4 linked regions of the Arabidopsis thaliana genome follow. The protein of the gene in region 4 interacts with the protein of the main gene of each other region in a pairwise test. Each region holds a gene or a part of one and is shown on either strand. Other genes may lie near its edges.

What was found.
Region 1: the proteins of AT5G63930 (region 4) and AT4G27610 interact in a protein complementation assay, tested with the Arabidopsis thaliana proteins (one large-scale study listed by BioGRID).
Region 2: the proteins of AT5G63930 (region 4) and AT3G61750 interact in a protein complementation assay, tested with the Arabidopsis thaliana proteins (one large-scale study listed by BioGRID).
Region 3: the proteins of AT5G63930 (region 4) and MLO2 interact in a protein complementation assay, tested with the Arabidopsis thaliana proteins (one large-scale study listed by BioGRID).

Annotation. Positions count from the first base shown.
Region 1 is NC_003075.7:13,784,875-13,790,456, forward strand, and holds AT4G27610 (intracellular protein transporter), read right to left. Parts: upstream 3,642-5,582; 5' UTR 3,210-3,641; exon of another isoform or gene 2,500-3,209; 5' UTR 2,459-2,499; coding exon 2,275-2,458; intron 2,188-2,274; coding exon 2,083-2,187; intron 1,490-2,082; coding exon 774-1,489; 3' UTR 539-773; downstream 1-538. Other genes in the region: NARA5 (pfkB-like carbohydrate kinase family protein), read right to left, coding at 1-131; AT4G27620 (intracellular protein transporter), read right to left, coding at 4,185-4,873, 5,270-5,371, 5,456-5,582.
Region 2 is NC_003074.8:22,857,040-22,861,602, forward strand, and holds AT3G61750 (Cytochrome b561/ferric reductase transmembrane with DOMON related domain-containing protein), read right to left. Parts: upstream 2,631-4,563; 5' UTR 2,216-2,630; coding exon 2,009-2,215; exon of another isoform or gene 1,932-2,008; coding exon 1,532-1,931; intron 1,448-1,531; coding exon 858-1,447; 3' UTR 538-857; downstream 1-537. Other genes in the region: DL1B (DYNAMIN-like 1B), read right to left, coding at 3,507-3,635, 3,735-4,103, 4,198-4,474, 4,555-4,563. UniProt on the Arabidopsis thaliana protein: May act as a catecholamine-responsive trans-membrane electron transporter.
Region 3 is NC_003070.9:3,799,972-3,805,890, reverse strand, and holds MLO2 (Seven transmembrane MLO family protein), read left to right. Parts: upstream 1-1,657; 5' UTR 1,658-2,020; coding exon 2,021-2,143; intron 2,144-2,195; exon of another isoform or gene 2,196-2,331; coding exon 2,332-2,389; intron 2,390-2,504; coding exon 2,505-2,770; intron 2,771-2,863; coding exon 2,864-2,980; intron 2,981-3,073; coding exon 3,074-3,134; intron 3,135-3,204; coding exon 3,205-3,368; intron 3,369-3,451; coding exon 3,452-3,546; intron 3,547-3,632; coding exon 3,633-3,682; intron 3,683-3,768; coding exon 3,769-3,809; intron 3,810-3,888; coding exon 3,889-4,062; intron 4,063-4,152; coding exon 4,153-4,188; intron 4,189-4,273; coding exon 4,274-4,341; coding exon of another isoform or gene 4,342-4,345; exon of another isoform or gene 4,346-4,430; coding exon 4,431-4,491; intron 4,492-4,584; coding exon 4,585-4,992; 3' UTR 4,993-5,171; downstream 5,172-5,919. Other genes in the region: AT1G11303 (G-type lectin S-receptor-like Serine/Threonine-kinase), read right to left, coding at 5,172-5,480, 5,560-5,689, 5,774-5,919.
Region 4 is NC_003076.8:25,579,923-25,587,145, reverse strand, and holds AT5G63930 (Leucine-rich repeat protein kinase family protein), read right to left. Parts: upstream 5,451-7,223; 5' UTR 4,141-5,450; coding exon 1,209-4,140; intron 1,131-1,208; coding exon 754-1,130; 3' UTR 526-753; downstream 1-525. Other genes in the region: TOP3A (topoisomerase 3alpha), read right to left, coding at 5,916-6,177, 6,279-6,399, 6,556-6,723, 6,887-6,958, 7,102-7,173.

The sequences.
Region 1 (5,582 bases), on a different chromosome or scaffold from region 4:
CCTTTGGGGTGATATAAAGAGTAAAGACGGGAGAGAGAGGAGGAGGAAGCATTATTAGAAGCGGTAATGGCGGAGAGAGTGAAAAAAAGAGAGGCAGAGGTAGGAATTGGAGAGAGGAGGGAGAACGCCATGGAATTAGATAGTTTTGCTCTTTGAATGAAGAAAGCTCACATCTCCATTCAAAAGCGAGAGGAGCAAGGAAGACCAGCAAAACCCGAGAGACGGCCTCTGAGAGGATAAAGTATGACTTTGACTTTATATGTTTATTTATATAAATCTTATTAGGATAAAACTCTATTTCTTATTTATATTCAAACCCAAAATTTCAGAATAAGCATAATTGCTAACAATTTTATTTTAACTGTATCTTAAAAATAATAATGTATGTTGCGTCTATTTATAAATTTAAAATTTGTTTATACTATTTATCATTTGTGTTAAAATTGGCTAATTCTTCTAGTGAACACATCCTTATACGTGGCGTTTGTAATTATCGGGTTAGTTACCAATTACGGAGAATAAAAAAAAAAAAAAAGTAGAGAGCTATTCCCGCGGTAAATTCTTCAACAACTATCTATTTACCTTTACACCAAATGTTGAAAGAAAAAACAGAATCAAGACATTCAAAAACGAAAGCAGAAAGCCAGAAAGAACCTGAAAATCTTGATCTCCACCGTTCTTAGTACATACTAAGATTCATTTTCTCGAAAAAGGAAAAAGAACCGAAAAAAAAAATAAGAGACGCAAGTATGCACAATGCCTAACCTTTCCACCTACAATAAGTTTTGGAGCTGTGAGTCCAGTCTCTGCTGCAACTCTTTTACCTTCTGCGAAAGCTCAATCTTCTGCTCCTTATAGCTTCTAAGTAGATACTCTTTCCCATCTATCACTTCTTTAAGCTCACTCACTTCCTTTCTCAACATCTCTACTCTTTCTCCATCCCTTAGGCTCTTTTCTTGTGACTCATAATTGCTTTCGCTGTCCATAAACCCGCCATTCCAAGGTCCAACCGGAGATGTCTTGCCATTGCTGTCCGCGCCACATCCCACGCTGTGATCAGCAATTGCCTTTCTCAGTCTTTGAACTTCTCTTTCTGATTCAAACAGATCTCTGTTCAGTGTGTCTAGCTGTGCCTGGAGATGGCTTGAGTGTGCCGTCTGTGCGTTATACGAGTTTTGCAGCTCTAGAATCTGTTCTTGCATTTCCTGTATCATGTCATCCCGTCTCTTCAGCTGCTGCCTTAGTTTCTGTATTACTTCTCGTTTGCTGAAAATGTCTGAGCTGGTTTCAGATACGCAAGGAGAATCTGAGCAGTTTGAATTGTGATTGTATGGTCTTGGGGGAAGTTCCAGGCGATCAGGAGAAGTTGCCCACATGACTCCATTCTCTTTGCTCGATGGAGCAGGAACTGTCACAAGAGGCAGTGAAGTGTCAGATGCGGATATCATTTGCTCGCTTGTCACCTCTTTTCCTTCCACACTCTCAGTTCCTATAAAAATAAAGAAGCAAAGGCTGATAAGATCCATACACGACTGTTTGCTCTGGACTACATGAATATTAGGATTCAGAGATTTTCCAAAGAGAAAACATAACTCAGGTCTGGATCTAATAGTACAAAACTTGTAACTATGCTTAACGAGGTCTTGGTAGATAACAAAACTAGTAACTGTTTTTAGCATTCAGCCACTAGACACAGCCATCAATGGAGAAAACCTGCTTCCCTAGTTGCCAGCCCAATTGATGCAAATTAATGGTAATATGCCACAACGAAACAAGAGATATTCGATTCAACCAGTTATTGCAAGGTGGCAAATCTTGTAACTATTTTACTCATTCCATAACTTCGAATTGGATTCCCCTAGTTGACAAATACATCATGAGGTAAGATAACAGAGGCTAGAACTCTATAACAACATCTACACATTCTCCCAACTAGATTTTACTATATATCACACATCGTTTTAACTTCATGAAAGGAAACCCAGTAAGACATGATGCGAGACCAAGAAACAAGCATATAGCGTTTGTTTAGTAGATTGAACAAATATGTATGAGGCAAAACAGAAAGTTACAAAGTCACACCTGGAATGGAGCGGAAGCAACAAAAATCATTATTTTGTGTACAGGAAGATGTGGTAGAGTGTAAGCAACAGCTTGTAGATTTTTGCCTCTCAGATGTTCCATTAGCTGCACAAGAGGCTTTCATTTAGTGATAGAAAAAAACTAGAACCAAATTATAAAACATGTTAAGCAACACAGCGATAAAGTAAGTACGTTTTAATCCAGCAGAGCCATTTGATTGAGGTTTCGAATCAAGCGACTGCTTTAGCTTGTATCCAAAGCGAATGGACAATGTGCTCAACAATGCACCCCCTGCAATTAGTATCCAGTTTGGCCCTTCACCACAAAATTTATCACCTCGCTGATGCTTGGAAATGCCATTTCTTCGTGTACTCATTGTATGAGAAAGTCAAAATGTATCTATCATCCAAACATAACCTACATTGAACGGATACAAGAATCAATCATCATCAACGATCAGAATGAATTGGGCATATGTCAACAAGAAACCTGGTGTCAACTCAATAAAATCAACAAATATACAATTTTAAAATCATCAAATGCTTAATACCCAGAAAGATTCCAGAAACTAGAATATGAAAAGATAATGAGCACAAAGAATCACGTTTTGAGCATTACCTCAAACACAGTCAACCAGAGAAGGAAAAACAAAAAAAAGATCTAAAATGATAGTAACACTGAAAAGAGAAAGACAAAAAAAAAAATGGAAGATTCTCTAAGTCAAACATTCTCAGTTGAGAAAGTATACGACGAATCCATGGAATCATATAGGAGCACAGACTCTACCTCAAAAAAAGCAAATGCAAGAAAAATGGAGTTCCCTGAAAGAGTAATCGAAACGTTGATGCCATGGGATTTAGATTCTAAAACTACAAAAGCAAGAAGAAGAGATAGATACTTGCCTTGAACATGAAGCGAAATGAAAATAATAACAACCCTTATTTTTTTCGATAGGGGCCGTTAATCGATATCCCAACAACCCTTAATGAACACAACAATCGCAATCAGAAGGAGAATAAGGAATTACATAAATCCGAGCTCGAAAATAGATTTTCCGACGAATCAAAAATCAGTGAGCGAGCGAAGCACCCAAAAACAGGGAGAGTATAAAGGACTCTTTAAAAAACCTCATAGACAGCAGAAAATGGGCATTAGGGCTCCATAGTTTCCCTCCCGAGCCAGAAAATTTCTCCCGCTTGAGTTTCAATGTTTGATGGGTGGTCCTTGCAGCTTCGAGAATCGAAAAAAATCGCTGAGAGAGAAATACGATTCCGTGAAGAATCGCAGAGTCTCCGACGATGATATGACTGTAAAACCCCCGGGGAGGAGAGAGAGAAGCAAAGTGGAGGGGAAGAGGTTGAAGAGAGACGGCGCCTCACAGTTACAGCTCCGTTGTTGTTTTTTCCTTCCACTGTTAATTCATTTATTAAAATAAAATCACGCACGCGTCAACCACGTCCCATGGATGACGCTCACGGTGGTTAACAAACTCAGCTCATATGTTTTTTTCTTCTTTCTTTTCTTCTTTACGATTTCAATTTTTTAGTAATGAAATTTAATAGATAATTTGAGTATGAATGAACATTTGACATCTTTATCCATGTGTAAATGTTTGCACTTTCTGTTGATTATTTTTTTTTTTCTATTTTAAGTCACTACCAGCTAATGTGATGATACATTTTTCTTTTGTCTTCTTCACTATGTGACAACTACAAAATTAAATATTTGGTCCTTCCTTCTCTAACGATTTTCTTCCTTATGAATATCAAAACCTGACTGAAATAAGTGCCAAATTAAATTTTAGCAACCCTTCTTTCTCTTTCCTTAAGAACAAGTAACCAACTTTCTTGTAAAAAACTTCAACTGCAATTCTACAATTTAAGCCTTGAGACACGATATTGTATGAGTTTGCAACTTTCGAATATCCACTTCACCAAGAGAAAAAAACAATTTGGATAAAATCATAATTGACACCCAAAACAATGTAGTCAGTTGATAAGTTTCCCCGGAGAAATTGAGATATTTTTGAACAAAGATTCATATTTTTTACTCGGGGAAACAAAAGAGAGTGGTAAGAATGCACAATGCCTAACCTTCTTCACCTACAAAATGTTTGGGAGCTGCGAGTCCAGTCTCTGCTGCAACTCTTTTACCTTCTGCAAAAGCTCTGTTTTCTGCTCCTTATAGCTCCTAAGTAGATACTCTTTCCCATCTATCACTTCTTTAAGCTCACCCACTTCTTTTCTCAACATCTCTATTCTTTCTCCATCCCTTATTCCATTTTCTGGTGACTCGTAGTTGTTTTCGCTGTTCACATCGCCACTCCAACCATTGCTACCTGTGTGTCCCACGCAGTGATCAGCGATTGCCTTTCTCAGTCTCTGGACTTCTCTTTCTGATTCAAACAGGTCCCTGTTTGTTGCGTCTAGCTGTGTTTGGATATGGCTAGAGTGTCCCATCTGGGCGTTTAGCGAGTTTTGCAGCTCTAGAATCTGTTCCTGCATTTCAACTATCATGTCGTCACGTCTCTTCAGCTGTTGCCTCAGTTTCTGTATTACTTCTCGCTTGCTGAAGATGTCTGAGCCGGATTCAGATACGCAAGGAGAATCTGAGCAGGTCGAATGTTGATGGTATGCTTTCATCGGCACTTCCAGGTGGTCAGGAGAAGATCCCCATACGACTGCACTCTCTTTGCTATATGATGAAGCAGGAACTGTCACAAGAGGCAGAGAAGTACTGGACTCTGCCATTTGCTCATTTGTAGCATGATTTCCTTCCCCATTCTCAGTTCCTGCATAAATGAAAATAAGAAGCCAACTCTCAGAACACCCACACAAAACTTTTCTGCCATAACACAAGCCATCATTGGGGGATAATACTACAGCCTTCATAGTTTCCAGCTCATTAACGTAAGTAGCTACTTAAGTATGAATCCTGATTGGGGTACAAAGACATCTTTAGTCAAATATTGTTCCTGATTGGGTTACAAAGATCATTATGCAAGATACTAGAGGCTACAAATATGTAAGAACCATCTCCATATTCTTTCAACTATTTGACAACATCTCCCAAAATCTCTTTTCACTTCAAAGATACCACAAAATCAAACCCCAGTAAGAGACTATGTGAAGTGAAGTTATGTATAAGCAAATTCAGTAGTAAGAATAACAAACTCACAAACTCTCACCGGGAGTGCAGTGAAAGCAACAATCATTATTCCTTTCACAGGGTGATGCATTAGAATGCAAGCAGCAGCCCTTAAATCTTCCTCTGTCGGTTGTTCCATTAGCTGCACAACAAAACAACCTACCAATAAGATAGAGAATACAAGCGAATTCTAGGACATGTAAGCACTAAACAACCAGATAAGTACGTTTTAATCCACCAGTGGCATTGGAATGAGGAGGTTTGGAGTCAATAGACTGCTTTAATTTGTAGCCAAAACGAATGGACAATGTACTCAACAAAGCACCCCCAGCAATTAAGATCCAATTTGGTCC
Region 2 (4,563 bases), on a different chromosome or scaffold from region 4:
CTGAAATTAATTCGCCTAAACAAATAATAAAAACGAAAATAAAAAAAACGAATATGCTGACGTGGCGGTTGAATGGAACAGTGTTTGGCTCCAGGGATTGGGGACGAGGGAAGACTGCGAATTTTCAGGCGTACGAGAGCGCCAAGTCGAAATCTTCCTTTTCATCAAATCTGACGTGGCGCATCAATAAATAACTCTCTCGTTTTTCTTCTTGTCACACAACTTATTTAGAAAAATCGAAGCTTGTTGGGCTACATATTGGGCCTACGATGTTTCTCGTGGAACATTTTGACAATTAATAAAAGAAACAACTTCGAGTTAGGCCCAATATGAACACTGTATGTTTCTCATGCAACAACATTTTGACATTACCAGACAATGGAGGAAGATGATCCTTTTTTCATTTCAAATAAGACTCAAAACTTATCATCCAATTATACGTTCATGATTTATATGAAAGATGAGAGATTGCATTTGCATACAAAAGGACCATATTTTTGTTAATCGCTCCATAATGTTAGCCTTAGGGTCTAGGGACGTCTATGCACATTTACAAACTCATAAGGAATTAAAGAATTACGTATATTTCACTTTCCAGGAACAACAACCTTCAAAACTCAACTTACATGACAACAAATTGAGATCCAAAAAGAAACAAACCTTAAAAAAACAAATATCACCATGTTGCTCTAAAGTCTAAACCAAGACCGATTTCCACTTGAAAATCATATTGCCGAACCAAAAAAAAAAAAAAAAAATTACAACACATATGGACTATAAAATCAGTGACCAATGATTATGGGGAAAACAAAAAAAGTACCTTTATGTACAAGAAAAAAAAAACAGAAGATCTTGAATCAAACACTAGTACTAGAACTTGGATGTGTCTCAAAAGAGGGAGGGCTGCGAGAAGATGGTGAGCCGATAGTGCCACGAATCCTGAATATTTCAAGAACAACAAAAGCAAGTAACGTGACTGACAGAACAAATCCATATCCAATTTTCCATCCATCTCCTCCATTATCCGCCATTCGAATTCCAAGAACAATGTTCACTGCTCCAAAAAAGAGAGAGATCCTCCCAATCCAATGATGATACCAATTCCAATATCTCCTCATCTTTGTCTCCTTCTGTGGCCGTGCAAAGAAAGCCAAAACCTGAAGAGTGCTAAGGACTAGAAGAAAGATCCCAATGCCTCGATGCGCAGGTATATCCGGCTGGATCCTATTGTAAAGCTGAATCCCAAGAATAACTGCGGCTAAACCGAAGATAAAGCCCGTGAACTGAAAACCGATATGAAGATAGTACCAAAGAGGGTCTTTATGTCTTAGATATCTTGCTAGGATTGCCCCTACAGGAAGTAAGAAACCCCATCCGAGTATCGCCATTACTCCATGTTTTGTCTTCTCCGTAGAAGTTGTCGTCTTTATGGAGGTTGCTCCACTAGCTGCATTGACCAAGAACATACAACTATTGAACTCTCCCCTGTTTTTAACATGTATAGATTAGACTAGTATATACATTATATTACCTTTGGAAAAATCGACGATGACTGTAGTTTTATCATCATGCTTAGTCAAACGGCCTAGCTTGGAAGGATAAGCAGTGCTAAACGCTAGAATGACAGCTCTCCGAGGAACTCTAACGGCGAATTTCACCTGGAAAGCTAAGTAAATCATTGCTCCGTGAAGAGCCACCACCGGCGGGACTTTTTGTAGTTGCAATTCTCCTTGATCCGGCACAACTTGGTCTCTCTCCGTTCCTTGGAGATAGTATTGTTTGATTTTGGCGTGACCCTTTTTCGAAATCCATCCGATCATCGCGCTTGATCCAACCATTCTTCCTTCTTTCGAGAATCCAATCCCAACCCACCCGGTTGTGTATAAAGCCGATACTATAATCGTCATCACATTGTCTCTGTTTTCTGAGTACTGCAAAACAGAGCAAGCAGCGTTGAAAATCAAAATTATGGGTTTTAGGAAAAGTTGGTTTATGTTTTTCGGTTTACCCGTAAGACGAACGTGTTCCAAAGAGGAGTACAGGGCATGTTATCGGAGATATTGCTGTACGGTGGAGGGAGGAAATCGGATAATCGGTTTGCAAAACAGAGATTCTGGGTCGAATCGTTTATGACATTGACGTCATCTGCAGCTAAGAAAGGCAGATCTTGTCCGATTAAGAAACAGAGGATGTAAAATCCGACCAAAGTTTTCATGGTTGGAATCGAAACAGAGACGAGAAGGAGCGAGGAACAATGGAAGCTTTTTGGGTGATGGTTACTTGAAGAAGAAGAAGAGTGATTGAGTTTGGTGGTGAAAGTGGTTGGAGATGGAGATCAATCATAATCATCAAATTGTTTTAAATCAGCTCCGGTTGGATTTTGAGAAAGATACTTGGAGTTGATGTTTCACTGGTTAAGTATCGGACAATTTATGTCCCCTCTGTCACTAAATCGACACGTGAACCGACAGAAAAATACCAAGATGCTATGAAATTATTGCTTTTTCTTTGCCAGTTAAAACAATTGGCAATTGCTATTTGAGGTTGAGAAATTACGAATAGATTTTTAAGATATGGACAATCTGGAGTTTTTTACTTTGCTTATTTAGGGAAAAAAAGAAGAAGAAGACAGAGATGGGAGCGAGAGAGTGGGGTCGTAAACTGGACCATAGTGGGAAGTGGATCAGTCTTAGTCTGAATCATTACTCATTAGGTATATTTGGTCAGGATAGTGCCACGATCAACATCATCTTTTCTTTTCTTGGAGGAGATATTGGAAGGGAACTTGGAAACAAAGTAAACAATAATAAATTAACCAATGAGTACAGCTTTACAGCTTCCATGAGTACCAATCACACAAACAAACAATTTCATTTGTTCGTTGTAAAACACAAACTCAAATGAGAAAAAAGGTATTGTGTTGCAATTGCAAAATGGTAATGTAAAACAATTTAAACAGTATTACTATTACGCATGGCGGGATCGGTATCAGTCAACGACTAAGCGTTTTATGTAATCGATATCATAATTCAAAATTATTCAACTTTAACATAATAAAAGGGATTAACATAATAAGTTAGCCAATATGGGGATGTAGCTCATATGGTAGAGCGCTCGCTTCGCATGCGAGAGGCACGGGGTTCGATTCCCCGCATCTCCAATTTTGTTGATTTTTTTAATTTTAGTTTGCTCTTCTTCTTCTGTTTGCTCTTCTTCTTCTGTTTGCTTGCTCCTTTTGTTCTCTCTTTCCGGTGGTTTAAAACAGAGAGGAGATCACGTCATATGTTTCTTCAGTCCATGAAATCTATTTATTTTTTGAAAAATAATTTGGTCAACCATATTCTACTGCGCCAACCATCGTCTTACAAAAACTTTTATTCAGAAACAATGATAACTCGAACACCGAATACAATGACAAATGGAAAAAAAAAAGAGACAAAAAAATGTAGAAGGAAACGTATCCTAAAGAAACAAAAAATGGAGTGTGAAGAGAGGGTCTCGTCTCTCTACTTGGACCAAGCAACTGCTTCAATATCCGTTTGAGCACTTCTATACAATTCCAGCCTCTTCGCAATCGAAGTCCTTCGCTGCTGAACCGCAGGATCCTCATCCAACAATTTCGACAATTTGCTCATCTATAATTTTTAACACCAAACCATTTTAACATTCTTACTCGTATCTTATACAATTGTCAATTTGCTCATATAGGTTTTTTAGTATATCTTTATTGTTACCTCTTTCTGGCCAAGTTCGGTGAAGAAGATGTCTAGAAGGCTTCGTTTTGCTTCACGGACTTGACAGTAAACAATGGATTTCGGTATGGAGTTTCTCAAGCCAGCGCAGACCATGTTCACATATGACAACACATTTGAGCCGATTCTTCGGAGATAAGCATCGTTGTATCTGTCGAATATCGAATGTGTCGGATTCCCACCTTTTTCAGAATCTTGCGGGAGTTTCCTGAAGAACTCGACCGTTAAGTAACCAGACTCCATGTCCACTAGTAACAGAGTTGCTTTCCTGCTTTCGTCTCTCATTCGATCCAATGAATCCACGGCTGCACCTGATACTTCTACTCTGAGTGTTGGATATTGCTTCAGTTCCTGTAGTCATGATGAAAACACATAATCATGCTTCAAAACTCATAAGTGTTATTGTTGTTGTTGGGTTTATGACTTTGAGCAGAGATATTCTTACAGATGTTTCGCCCATGGATTTGTGGATAAGATCCTTGAGAATGGAATGAACCGCATCAACAGCTGCTTCAGCAGGGCCTCTAATGGAGACTAAGCATGATTCTATGAGCCGGCGATAACCTTGTTCAGGAGCTATGAGATGAGGTTGATATCCATCTGCTTCAGTGATCAGTTTCCGTACATTGTCCATGGAGAGATGTTTGTCGAATTGCAGTCTTTTAATGGCAGCTGGGAATTGATTGTCGAACACAGAATTTATCTTTTCACCACCTGAACGCCTGTAAGGTTGTTAGTGGTTATCAATTATAAAGCTAGAAAATTGAATTAGCAACAATCCAGAAACATGCGGATGACTTACGTGCCATCC
Region 3 (5,919 bases), on a different chromosome or scaffold from region 4:
TTTGAACTTAAGTTGTGTCCAATTGTGTCAGTCATAAATATGAACACGTGTTAAATATTATAGAGAAAGATTTGAGTTTTTACAATCTTATAATCCACTCTCCATAGTTTATATATGTACATGCACGATCAGTTTTAACTAATAATCATAAACATATATGTACATGTACAATCAATCTCATATGCAATCAAAGTAAATATAAATTAAAAAAAATGTATATATGGATCTCGTTTAGTTTAAATTCTAAACGTATATTGTCGAAGGAGAAAAACTATAATTTTGTTTGTGTATATTGATTGATTCTTCAGTAATTTCTTCAACTATTCTGATATATATATATATATATATATATATATATATCTACTTGCAATCATAGTTTAAAGATGTTATTTCTGTTAGATGTTTAATCTTGTTTTTTTCTGTCAGTAGTCTTTAATCACGTGCCAAGTAAGCAAAACACTCTCATTATTTTAAAGAATGTTGATTAAATAAACATTCGATGGGCGATGGCTATTGGAAACTGGAAAGTCAGCTAAATACAACAATTTTCCACTTAACATTCTAATTATCTAACTATTAATTATTAATCATTGCTGCATGCCTCTGTTCAACTGTACAGGCTGTTTTCGAATATTTTGTAGAGTACAACTTATCAAAAAATCCCAAACTCTTTTATCTGACAATAATATTTTAAGATATAAGAAATAGTCATAGTATCATATTTTTCAAACTATACAATTTTTATAATTTCATTAAAAGGCAAAATAAAAACCAGGTTACGTAATTAATTTAATAGTCAAATGTTTGCTACAATAATATATTTACAATTCTAGTTACATCTAAGTGTAATAAAATTACAATTCCATTATAGATAGTATAATGGATGATAAAACTTTTGTACAGTTGATAGTAAGAAAATTTAATAAAATATAGGATATTAACAAGAAAAAAAAAACAAAAAAAAAAAAACACGTTAATGGGTAAACTTCGAAACTGAAATTTTTGTAGAAAAAAACAATCACATCATCAATGTATCTTTCAAAATAATGTTTTGACAACTTATCAGTCACTTTTAATTGGGTGTGTTAGAAATAGAGGTACAGTTTAAAGTTTTTATTAGGTTTTGGGTGGTAAGGTGTGTTAGAAATCAGTTTATTTTTTAATCAGTCATTGGTGGTGGTGGAAAATATCATTTTCAAATTTCAAGTAGCAATTATGGGTGAAATTTCTTGTATAAATTTCAAGTAGCAATTAATATATCTTTTTTTATATATAGAAAATTTACATTTTGGTAAAAATTTAAATTAAAAAAAGGAGCATGGTTATATCTTGAATCTTGGTATCTACGAGCATATTATTTAGATATAACAAACAAGTTGGGAATAGACAAAACAAAATGACGAACTTTCCAACGAAAGATCCCATTATAGTAATGTTATTCTTATTTATACTTATACAATCTCTAGTGGCTTCCAAAGTACACAAAATGGGAGTATTATACCAACAAAAATAAACGACTAATGAATCAAAAAATTCAAAATTTGCTTTATTTTATTCTGAAAATCTAACGAGCTGAAACCAAAATGTTATAGATTTAAAATAGAAACAAAACACCGATGATTGACCCAATAAAAAGCAAAATAAAGTAGACCAAAAAGAATAATGGTTATGCTGATAATTGAGGAGTCGTCGTCACTCGTCACATGAGAGGAACAACAAGAAAAGTCAAAACGTTGAAGCTTTCTCGAATAACGCCTTCTTTAGTTTACAGTCTCTCGTTGCGGGTCTTATCTTCTTCTTCTTCTTCCCTCTTTCGTCTGCTCTATATTATGACCAGATTCAAAATTGCGTAGCGTACTAATTCAATATAGAGAGAAGTTAGATCAAAAGAAGAACACGAAACTCTGACTGTGTCTCTCTTTCTCTTCGTGTGTTTCTATATTTATATATAAAAAGACAAGATCTCTGGTCTGGAATTAGAAGAATCTTATTTGGGGTTTTTTCTTAGGATTAAGCTCTAATGGCAGATCAAGTAAAAGAGCGGACTTTAGAGGAGACCTCTACGTGGGCAGTTGCTGTTGTTTGCTTTGTCTTACTCTTTATTTCGATTGTCCTCGAACATTCTATTCACAAAATTGGAACCGTAAGTCTCTTTATATTTCTCCTTATTTCAAGATTCCCCTGTTTCTTGCTCTGCTTTCTGCTCTGTTTCTTTAATTACTGCTCTGTTTTTTTGGATTTGTTTAGTTCTTCTCCTATCACTATCAACACTACTAAATCTGTGAGAATAACGAAAATATCTGATCATTCCTTTTTTTGTGCCTTAAACAGTGGTTTAAAAAGAAGCACAAGCAGGCTCTTTTTGAAGCTCTTGAAAAGGTCAAAGCAGGTAACTATCTTTTTCTACTTAACTTGATCCATTATCAACAAGCTTCTTATCTTTTTCTACTTAACTTCATCCATTAACAAGCTCCTGATTTTGTTTTCTACGTAACTTCATTCAGAGCTTATGCTGTTGGGATTCATATCACTACTACTCACAATTGGACAAACACCAATCTCAAATATCTGCATCTCCCAGAAAGTTGCGTCAACAATGCACCCTTGCAGTGCTGCTGAAGAAGCTAAAAAATACGGCAAGAAAGACGCCGGAAAGAAAGATGATGGAGATGGAGATAAACCCGGTCGAAGACTTCTTCTTGAGTTAGCTGAATCTTATATCCATAGAAGAAGTTTAGCCACCAAAGGCTATGACAAATGTGCAGAGAAGGTAACTAATAATCTCCCTTCTCTCTCTATATAAAAATCATTCTCTGCTTGTTAAACCGATGGAATTTTGATTTCTATTGATGGATTTACTCAGGGGAAAGTGGCTTTTGTATCTGCTTATGGAATCCACCAGCTGCATATATTCATCTTCGTGCTCGCGGTTGTTCATGTTGTTTACTGCATTGTTACTTATGCTTTCGGAAAGATCAAGGTAACTAACATTTCTTGTGACTTACGCAGTTGTTAAGGCGAGAAAAAGAGTGTATGCAAAAGATTTTTATACTTGTTTTCTTGAGTATTGCAGATGAGGACGTGGAAGTCGTGGGAGGAAGAGACAAAGACAATAGAGTATCAGTATTCCAACGGTATGTAAATATGTGAGTATTCGACGAAACTTAAAGACCTGAATGGGAATGAATTAGTCTTGTTATGCAGATCCTGAGAGGTTCAGGTTTGCGAGGGACACATCTTTTGGGAGAAGACATCTCAATTTCTGGAGCAAGACGAGAGTCACACTATGGATTGTTTGTTTTTTTAGACAGTTCTTTGGATCTGTCACCAAAGTTGATTACTTAGCACTAAGACATGGTTTCATCATGGTATGGAATTTATTCTTTTTATCTATTGTTCATTATAACATGTATCTCTCAAAGACAATGATCTAACATTCTACATATTTCAGGCGCATTTTGCTCCCGGTAACGAATCAAGATTCGATTTCCGCAAGTATATTCAGAGATCATTAGAGAAAGACTTCAAAACCGTTGTTGAAATCAGGTTTGGATCTAATAATGATTGCTTTATAAAGTCTGAGCAAAGCCAATTTGGATATTTTATCTTAAATCTCTGCCAACTTTATGCAGTCCGGTTATCTGGTTTGTCGCTGTGCTATTCCTCTTGACCAATTCATATGGTAACGTTCATTGCTTACTCGCAAAAACTACATTTTAGCTGCATCAATAGTCGCACAAAAGTGACATCGGTTTTCTTTTGAAACAGGATTACGTTCTTACCTCTGGTTACCATTCATTCCACTAGTCGTAAGTACAAACAAACTCTTGAACCGATTTTGTCTTTTTGCCGCCAGTTTTGTAACAGAGTGAAAATATATAACTGCAGGTAATTCTAATAGTTGGAACAAAGCTTGAAGTCATAATAACAAAATTGGGTCTAAGAATCCAAGAGAAAGGTGATGTGGTGAGAGGCGCCCCAGTGGTTCAGCCTGGTGATGACCTCTTCTGGTTTGGCAAGCCACGCTTCATTCTTTTCCTTATTCACTTGGTCCTTTTTACGGTACAATACTTGTATCCTTCACCGCTCGTTTTTTCGATCTTTTTCGGGTTTTTTCTCCTAACGGTAGAATAAATTTTCTTATCTTTGCAGAATGCATTTCAACTTGCATTCTTTGCCTGGAGTACGGTAAGCGAGCCATTTCATTTTCTTTGAAAACATCGCTGTTACGGGCTATACTAATTGTTATGTCATAAATTTTCTGTATTTGCAGTATGAATTCAATCTCAATAATTGTTTCCATGAAAGCACTGCAGATGTGGTCATTAGACTTGTAGTTGGGTAAGCTAACATTATCTTGACTATTGATTCTTCTGAGAATTTGTCCTTTAACTGAAAAAGTATAATCCCCCTTTTTATAAATCTTGCAGAGCTGTTGTGCAGATACTTTGCAGCTATGTGACTCTTCCACTCTATGCACTTGTTACTCAGGTACTAGAAAACATTAGTGTTACATGGATGCCAGATTTTGGTTATATGATCTTTAGTTTTTTTTACATTGTGTTGAATGAAAATTGTGTGCAGATGGGTAGTAAAATGAAGCCAACAGTATTCAACGATAGAGTAGCCACGGCATTAAAGAAGTGGCATCACACTGCAAAGAACGAGACGAAACACGGAAGACACTCGGGATCCAACACACCTTTCTCTAGCCGTCCAACCACACCAACACATGGCTCATCTCCAATCCATCTCCTTCACAATTTCAATAACCGGAGCGTTGAAAATTACCCAAGTTCTCCTTCTCCTAGATACTCTGGTCATGGTCATCATGAACACCAATTTTGGGATCCTGAGTCTCAACACCAAGAAGCTGAAACTTCCACACATCATTCTCTTGCGCATGAAAGCTCAGAACCTGTTCTTGCATCTGTGGAACTTCCTCCTATAAGGACTAGCAAAAGCTTAAGAGATTTTTCTTTTAAGAAATGATGATTCTTGTTTGCTATATTTGATTTCGTACAGTGGGAAATTTGTCATATGAAAATAATTTCTTGTACATTACTAGTTGGATAAGAAATAACCATATCTATATGGATACATGATATGTTATTCTCTGGCAATGCTTAAGAGTTTCACGAATTACACATACATTTGTATTTCTGCAGGTTTTAACGTCCTGAGACATCAGTGATGGTGACATTGTTGATAGAGGCTTTAAGAGCAATGCTCTCAGAGAACTCAGCTTCTAAACCAACGTTTCTAGGCATAAAAGCAGGCTGTTTCGGTTCTGGAATGTCTGCAACCTCACTGCTAAGCATCATACACACTGTAGAAACACTTGGCCTATCATTAGCAGCGTCTTGCACACACAAAAGCGCAATGTGAACGCATTTTCGTATTTCTTTCTCAAAAAGTTGGTCAAAAATCTCAGGATCTACCATACCATTAATCTCCCCTTCGTTCCAGATTGACCACACCTATGAAACATAGAAGCTTTGATGGCTTGATGACAATCTCAAGAGAGTTAAGAAACTTTACGAGTTAAAGTAGACTCACATGAGCCAAAAGAGTTGAATGTGAGTTTCTTCTTCCACTGATAATCTCTAAGAGTATCACTCCTAAGCTGAAAACATCAGATTTCTCTGAAAACAGTCCTCCCATTGCATATTCAGGTGCCATATAGCCACTGCACGATACATTTATTTTCTCGGTTTTAGGACTCTTAATGGAAAAAAAAGATGTAAACATATGGTTGAATGGAGTTACATACTATGTTCCAACGACCCTTCTGGTGTTTGCTTCATCTTCATTCCCCGGGAATATCCTGGCCAACCCAAAATCAGATATTTTCGGAATCAGATTCTCATCTAGCAAGATGTTGCTTGCTTTCAGATCTCTGTGAATGATTCTCAGCCT
Region 4 (7,223 bases):
TCGATTATTCATATCCTATCCTTTATTTTGAATTTTCAGTTTGAAGAAAAGGAAAAAAAGACCTTTCAAACTTTCATGGCGTACGAATAAGTCTTAGTATGACTCGAATCTTTTCGTTTGATTTAAAATCATATCCCTAGAGAAGTGAAGACTAAGAGGACTAATTATTTAACAAAATTAATATTGAGAAAAACAGATCCACATTAACTCACTACCACATAGCTAAAATTAAAAACTAGAAGAGATTAGATATATAATCTGGTGGGCACGATTCAGAATAGCACGTGAAATATTATATTTATAACAAATCCAGCTAACCGTGATCTACGCTAATTATGATTTCCAGAGCAAAAGTGACCGTATTATTATTGGTGTCTTCATTAAATTAACAATAATTTATAGACCTAATCACTATGAAAAATCAAGTTGATTATAACATGGATACTTCCATAGTATTAAATTATGATCTATTAAATGATCCAATGACCAAAAACAATATCCAATGTTAGAGAGTACTACTATTTACCTGTTCATACTAAAAAGACAACGGTAATTACCGTTTGGGTCCCATGGATAATGATTGGATTAACACTAATTAATTAAACCTAACGGTAACTTGTAGATATAGATACTGCTTATATCTTTTGATATAGCTGCGTGCGTATAGACTTTACAATAATTATTCGCCATGGTTACATAGAAGAATAATCTCGTGTGAAAAAAGAAGAAGATACAACAAGAATGTGTATTGTGTCATGGGGTAGTTGTTTGTGTCAATTCTTCTGTATCCAAATGTTCTTGTTCTCCTTCCGATCTCTCAGACTCAATAAGCATGAGAACAACTTGTCGCATCGATGGCCTCGCGACTGGAGACACACTTGTGCAAAGAAGTGCAATCTTTAACACAGTGAGCATATGAGAGACAATTCTCTCGTCTTCTAGCGTTAACCGAGCATCAAGAACTCCTGAGGACAATGCATCTCTTCTTATGTAACTCCTCACCCAATTCACCACATCTCCTCCTTGATCTATTGGCTGAACCGGGGCTTTTCCGGTTAGCAGCTCCAGTAGAACCACCCCGTAGCTATAGATGTCAGACTTCTCTGTCACTTTCATGGTGTATGCATATTCTGCAAAGTTGTTAAAACAGTTTAATTTCAGTTCCCTCATTGGATACTTAATTGCACAAACAAAAGCAAAAACTTTACCTGGGGCAATGTAGCCATAGGAGCCAGCAATAGCAGACATGGATTTAGAATGTGGCATGTCAATCACTTTTGCTAGTCCAAAATCTCCCACATGAGCTTCAAACTTGTCGTCAAGCAGTATATTGTTTGATTTTATGTCCCGGTGGAAGATTCTCGGCTTGCAATCATGGTGCAAATAGGCGAGACCCTGAGCCGCACCTAAAGCGATTTTAAATCTCTTAGACCAATCCAAGTTGCATGAAGGATCATGAAGTATTTCTCCAAGGCTTCCCTTGGGCATGTACTCATACAGAAGCAGATTTGATCCTTGGTGATTGCAGAATCCATGTAGCTTGACGATGTTACGGTGCCTGATATTCCCAAGAGTTAGAATCTCTGCTCTAAAGCTATTATCCACATTGTTGTTGTTGCCGCCTTCATGGTTTGATGCCAGCTTCTTGACAGCTAGAGTGTACCCGGCTGGAAGAACCGCTTTGTAGACGGTTCCACAAGCTCCTCTCCCAACTACAAAGCTCTCGTCGAAATTATCAGTGGCTGCAACTAAATCTTGGAACGTGAATCCTTCCTTTGGAGGGAAGTATATGTCCAAAGACATTTCCGATGGTTGGCCATCTTGAGCAGAAGAAGCGACTGTTCTCACTGGGCGTCTCATGAGGTAGACAATGAGAGCAATCAGCATGAGAGAGACCCCGCCAATCACAGCTGCAGTAATGGCTATGATTTTACTCGAACGCATTCCTCCGGGCTTCCCGGTTGACTGAGAAGGCGCGAAAGGCTGTGTTTGGATACACTGGTTGAGCGGCGGGCCGCAAAGCCCTTCATTACCGATGAAGCTAGACATGGATATGTTACGGAGAAGTGGAATAGGACCAGTTAAGCTGTTGTATGAGAAGTTGTAACCAAGCAAGCTGGAGAGATTAGCAAAAGAGCTTGGTATTTCCCCAGACAAATTGTTGTTGTTGAGGAGCAGGAACTCAAGCATAACAAGATTACTGAGCTCAGGTGGTATTTCTCCGGTAAGCTTGTTATAACTGAGGTTCAATGCTATTTGCAAACCCGTCAGACTGCCCAACTCCCGTGGAATGCTACCGTTGAACAAGTTTCCACCCATTTGTAGTTCGGTCAAGCGAGATAAGTTCCCTAGAGCCACAGGTATTGTACCCGAAAGATTATTGTTTGAGAGCTTCAGAAGCTCAAGCTGGTAGAGGGAACCTACCTCACTTGGTAAGGTTCCAGAGAAATTGTTGCAACACATGTCTAGTCGCTGAAGCATCTTGCAGTTGAAGATTTCAGAAGGGACCTCTCCAGTAAGCTTATTGGATGAGATATTCAAGGTCCCAAGCTGTGAAAGCATGCCAATCTCTCTAGGTAGCTCCCCCGTGAAGCCATTGTCTGCTAGCTGCAGCCTTTGTAGGGCACTGCAGTTCCCGACCTCCCTAGGGATGGAACCACGGAATCTGTTCTGTCCCAACTCGATGGCTGTGACATTAACCTGTTTACACAGGTTGGATGGGAACCGACCAACGAGGTTGTTTCTGGCTAGACGAAGTTGGACCAGAGTTTTGCAAGTGGTGATTCCAGTAGGAATGTTGCCAGAGAGGTTGTTTGTACCCAAGTTCAAGATGATCATATTGGAGTGAAGGCAGAGGTAGCTTGGAATTCTTCCACTGAGATGGTTATCGGACATATCAAGAACCCAGAGATCGCTATACCAGCCAAGTTTTGGAGGTATGGTCCCGCTAAGGGAGTTCTGAAACAGCTGCAGCATGAAGAGTCCTCTTAGATACTGAAATCCCAGGGGAATAGGACCCGTTAAAGCATTGATGGAGAGATCAAGCTTTGATAGATTCTTCAAAGTAGAAAGCTCCACAGGGATGGTACCTGTGAGTTGGTTCTCAAAAAGATAAAGAAGCTCAAGCCCCTCTATGTTCCCTAACTCCAAAGGTATCTCTCCGGTCAAAGCGTTTTCCGAGAAATCTATCTCAATTGCATATGAGAGATTCCCAATCTCTCTTGGAATCGTTCCATTCAACCCGTTTCTGTAAAGGTAGAGAAACTCCAGCGACTGAAGGTCCCCGAGCTCTTTCGGGATTGGCCCGACAAGCTGGTTCTTGTAGAGAGCAAGGGTTTCTAAACTTGTGCAGTTGCTAATCTCCCTGGGGATAAACCCTGAGAACTCATTTTCCCAAAGAATCACCTGTGAAAGTTTCTTGAGCATTCCAATCTCTTTTGGTAATTCACCACTCAACTGGTTCTGTGCAAGACCAAGCATGACCAAGCTCTCACATCCACCAATCTCAGAAGGCAAACTTCCAGAGATCATGTTCTGACCGGCTCGGAAGCTTGTCAGTCTCTTGAGGTTGCCGATGGAACGGGGCAATTGTCCACTGATGTTGTTACTGTAAGTCACCAGTTGAGAGAGAGACAAAAGGTTCCCAATCTCCACAGGGAGAGACCCTGAGATTCTGTTGTTGTATATGATCAGATTCTCCAAAGACACAAGCTTACCTATTTCCACAGGTATCTCACCATCAAACTGGTTATTGTTTAGTTTCAGAATCTCCAAGCTTGAACAGTTGCCAATTTCCTTAGGAATTTTCCCTGACAACCCATTATATGACAGATCCAGCTGCTTCAGATGAACCAATCCACCTATGCTTGGTGATAGCTTACCCGAGAGAACCATCGAAGACAGATTCAAGGACAAAACCTCTGGATCACTCGAATAGTTGCTGCACATCACGCCAGTCCATCCACAAGGTACAGAATCATTTGAATTCCAGTTTCTCAAATTCTGCTTAGCATCCACAAACTTGCTCTTGATTTCAAGAAGATATTGACCTTCTAAGTTCAACCCTGTTGTCTCAGAGATCAGAAGGATAAGAAGAAGAGATATGAAAAAAACAGCAAGCTTCATCATTTCCTTTACCATTCATGCATACACAGAAGCCCTTAAATCTTCATTAGAAGACATCAAACAAGATGTAATCATGTCTGCAAAAACCTCACTTTGTACATCTCTTAAAGACTACATACCATAAAACCATCCAAAAAAACTCAAATCATGTAGCATAACAAGCATATTTGAAAGAAGAATACAGGCCCTACTAAACTATGGATCTGGATCCAAGACACATAGCTATGAAAATTCTAGGCAAGAAAACAACCTTTGAAACTGGTTTCAGGAAAGGAAAAAGAGAGAATAGAAGAGGTGCAGACCTTTTTTTCTTCTTTCCAGGAAAACAATATAAAAAGGAAATGGTCAAGCTATGATTAGTTTTTTGATCATTGAAAGCTTTGAAGTTTGAAATTTGTTCATTAAAAAAGTCTTCTATTAGTACTGGCCTGTCTTTTAATATTAGTTTCAGAAGCCTATCAGCTTTGCTTTTGTTTATTTCAAGTAAAAAAGAAACTCAATATTCGTTTTGTCTTTGAAGCAACAAATAAAGTAAGCCATGAATTAGTCAAAGTGAGAACTACAAGGCTTAAAAATGATGGTCCTTTTTGTAACTTTGAAGCTATAATAGACTCTAAGTACTCAAATCAACAAGATAGAGATGGCCGACATGGCATGAGAACTTGGCTTTCCTCATTCTCTCACGACCTCAATTTCGTGCATTATTATTCTATTGTAAAGTATCAATTATACTCCAAGCAAAACAGTTGTTTTAATCTTCTATATACAGACGACAACCAAGATAACAACTGGAGAAGGGACAACAAGCTCGACTATAAGTTATAGTCCAAGGACAAATGCTTCGAGAAGCTTGTCAATTTTGAGACCAAACTTCAGTCTTGTAATGAGACTACTAAGAAGAGGCAATGATAAGTACCCACTTGATCATTCACAGCAAGATACCTAATTGACTGTTCAATATACCGAACCAAGCTATACAAATTCCAAGATTAGTATGAAAAGTACCTCAAGTGGCTACAACAACTCCTTCGATGAGGAATGTAAGAAGAAACGCGTTCTTGTTCCACAGGAGACGGCCTAATCAGTAATCACCTCTCTCTCTCTTTTTTTCCCTTTCATAGTTGCCGAAGAAAATGACCCGAATCCTACGCCGGAGAAGCTCGCCGGATCCTCTGTTATCTCAATTTCGATTTGAGAATTTTAAATCTTTTATGTTCAAAATGGACTGAAAATTGGTGTGCCGTTTTTAAACAACAAAACGGCGTTTATTCCGGTTGTTGTGTCGTTTTCTTACAGAGCAAAACGACTGTGGTTTGTGTTATTAACAGTTGTTAATATCTATTACTTGACCATCTCTAAAAACAAATTCGGAGGACTAAACTTTGTAGCTTAAGCATTTTGTTAATATCTATTACTTGACCATGTCTAGACTCAAGATCAATGGCATATACATAGTGATATAGTTGATGTATGAATTATGAATTATGAGACAATACAAAAAAAATGATGAAATATGGATCCACATTAGCTCACTAAGAACATAACTAAAAATTAAAAACGACTATTCAAGATTTATAAATAAAATAGGTGGAAACTATTCAGTGATTCAGAATAGCACGTGAAATATTATATTTAAAATATCCAGCTAACAGTGATCTACGCAAATTAGGATGAATTCCAGAGAAAAAGTGGTCATAAAATAAAATAAAATAAAATACAAAAACCCAAATTAAGTTAGTAGCACTAATTAATCATGCTACATACATAGTCAAAGTTCGTAGTAAGTAGACTTAGAAATAGTTACCGTTAGAGTTATTACGATTAGGACAAGCGTTAGCAAAATGTGAAGGATCGCCACATGAGAAGCACCTTATACCACTCACTGGCTCTCCAGTTGCAGAGACAAAGCTTGTTCCAGAGCCGCGTCGTCCTCCACTGCTTTGGCCGCCTCTACCTCCACGGCCACGACCACGGCTGCCACGTCTACCGCTCCCGCCGCTATTAGACCCTGTTGTTGCATTCCCACTACTGTTGTTTATGCTATCTTCCCATCTGTTTACAAGCAGTGCAAACAAAAAACTGATGTGTTGAGTGATGTAAAAGGAAAAAAAAATGGATTATGCGAAGAAATTGGGGTAAAACCAGACTCTTACGCAAAGAAACTGCAGCCTTGTGTTGGACATGAGAAGAATTGTCTTCCCCTGTTAGCTTCTGTGTTGGCTGTACGAAGAACACATTGTGATCCACAAGTGTTACATGATACTGTACTTTCATCTGCATTATAACCAACAATACTAGAATATAAATTACATGTCAATAAGGAAGACTTGGTCTGGACAATTTGCTTGAATTTTGACTAGTATATAGTACATACTAGCAAAAGCTAATCGATGATCTTTGTTTGCTAAACTATTATACAAGGATCAGTACCGTTTCTCGGATTTGTTGCAGTAGGACGAGAATTTCGAGATGCTGGAACCCGTGAGGGACAATTCGTGGAAGCATGTCCTCGTTGCTGACAATGTATGCAGACATTACTCTGTCTTGTGTTGCTTCCTTGGATATTGTTTGACGGTGCAGTACCTGGAGTTCTCCTTGCTGCAAGAACAAATCATTGATTCTTTTTAGCCTAAATGTTCTCTATTCGCAAGACACTATACTAAAGTTCTTGCATTCTCATTTAGGACAGAAGATGATGAAAGAAAGATTGTATGATGTCTAATACAAAGGTATATGTATTGCGTAACAACAAAGCACTAACCTTGAGAACGGGATCCAGTTCCACAGATGTCTATCAACTGTTTAAGAATGTCATCACAGCCACCCACGCAACCTGATCACAACATTACCATAGGACATATTAGAAGAAGTCACGATGAAATTGGCACGGTGGCTGTGATGACATTAAAATCAAAGCCTGGTAAAAAAATCAAAGCCTGGTAAACAAGAAAACAAATTGGCTGCAATTTTTTTTACCTAAGTGATTAACATCAAAGCCTGGTGGAATTCCAATTTGACGGAACTTGAAAAGTATCTTGTAGACCGGGCCTACAGAAAGAGAAAGGCACCATTTAATAATAAAGACAGAAAGACACATG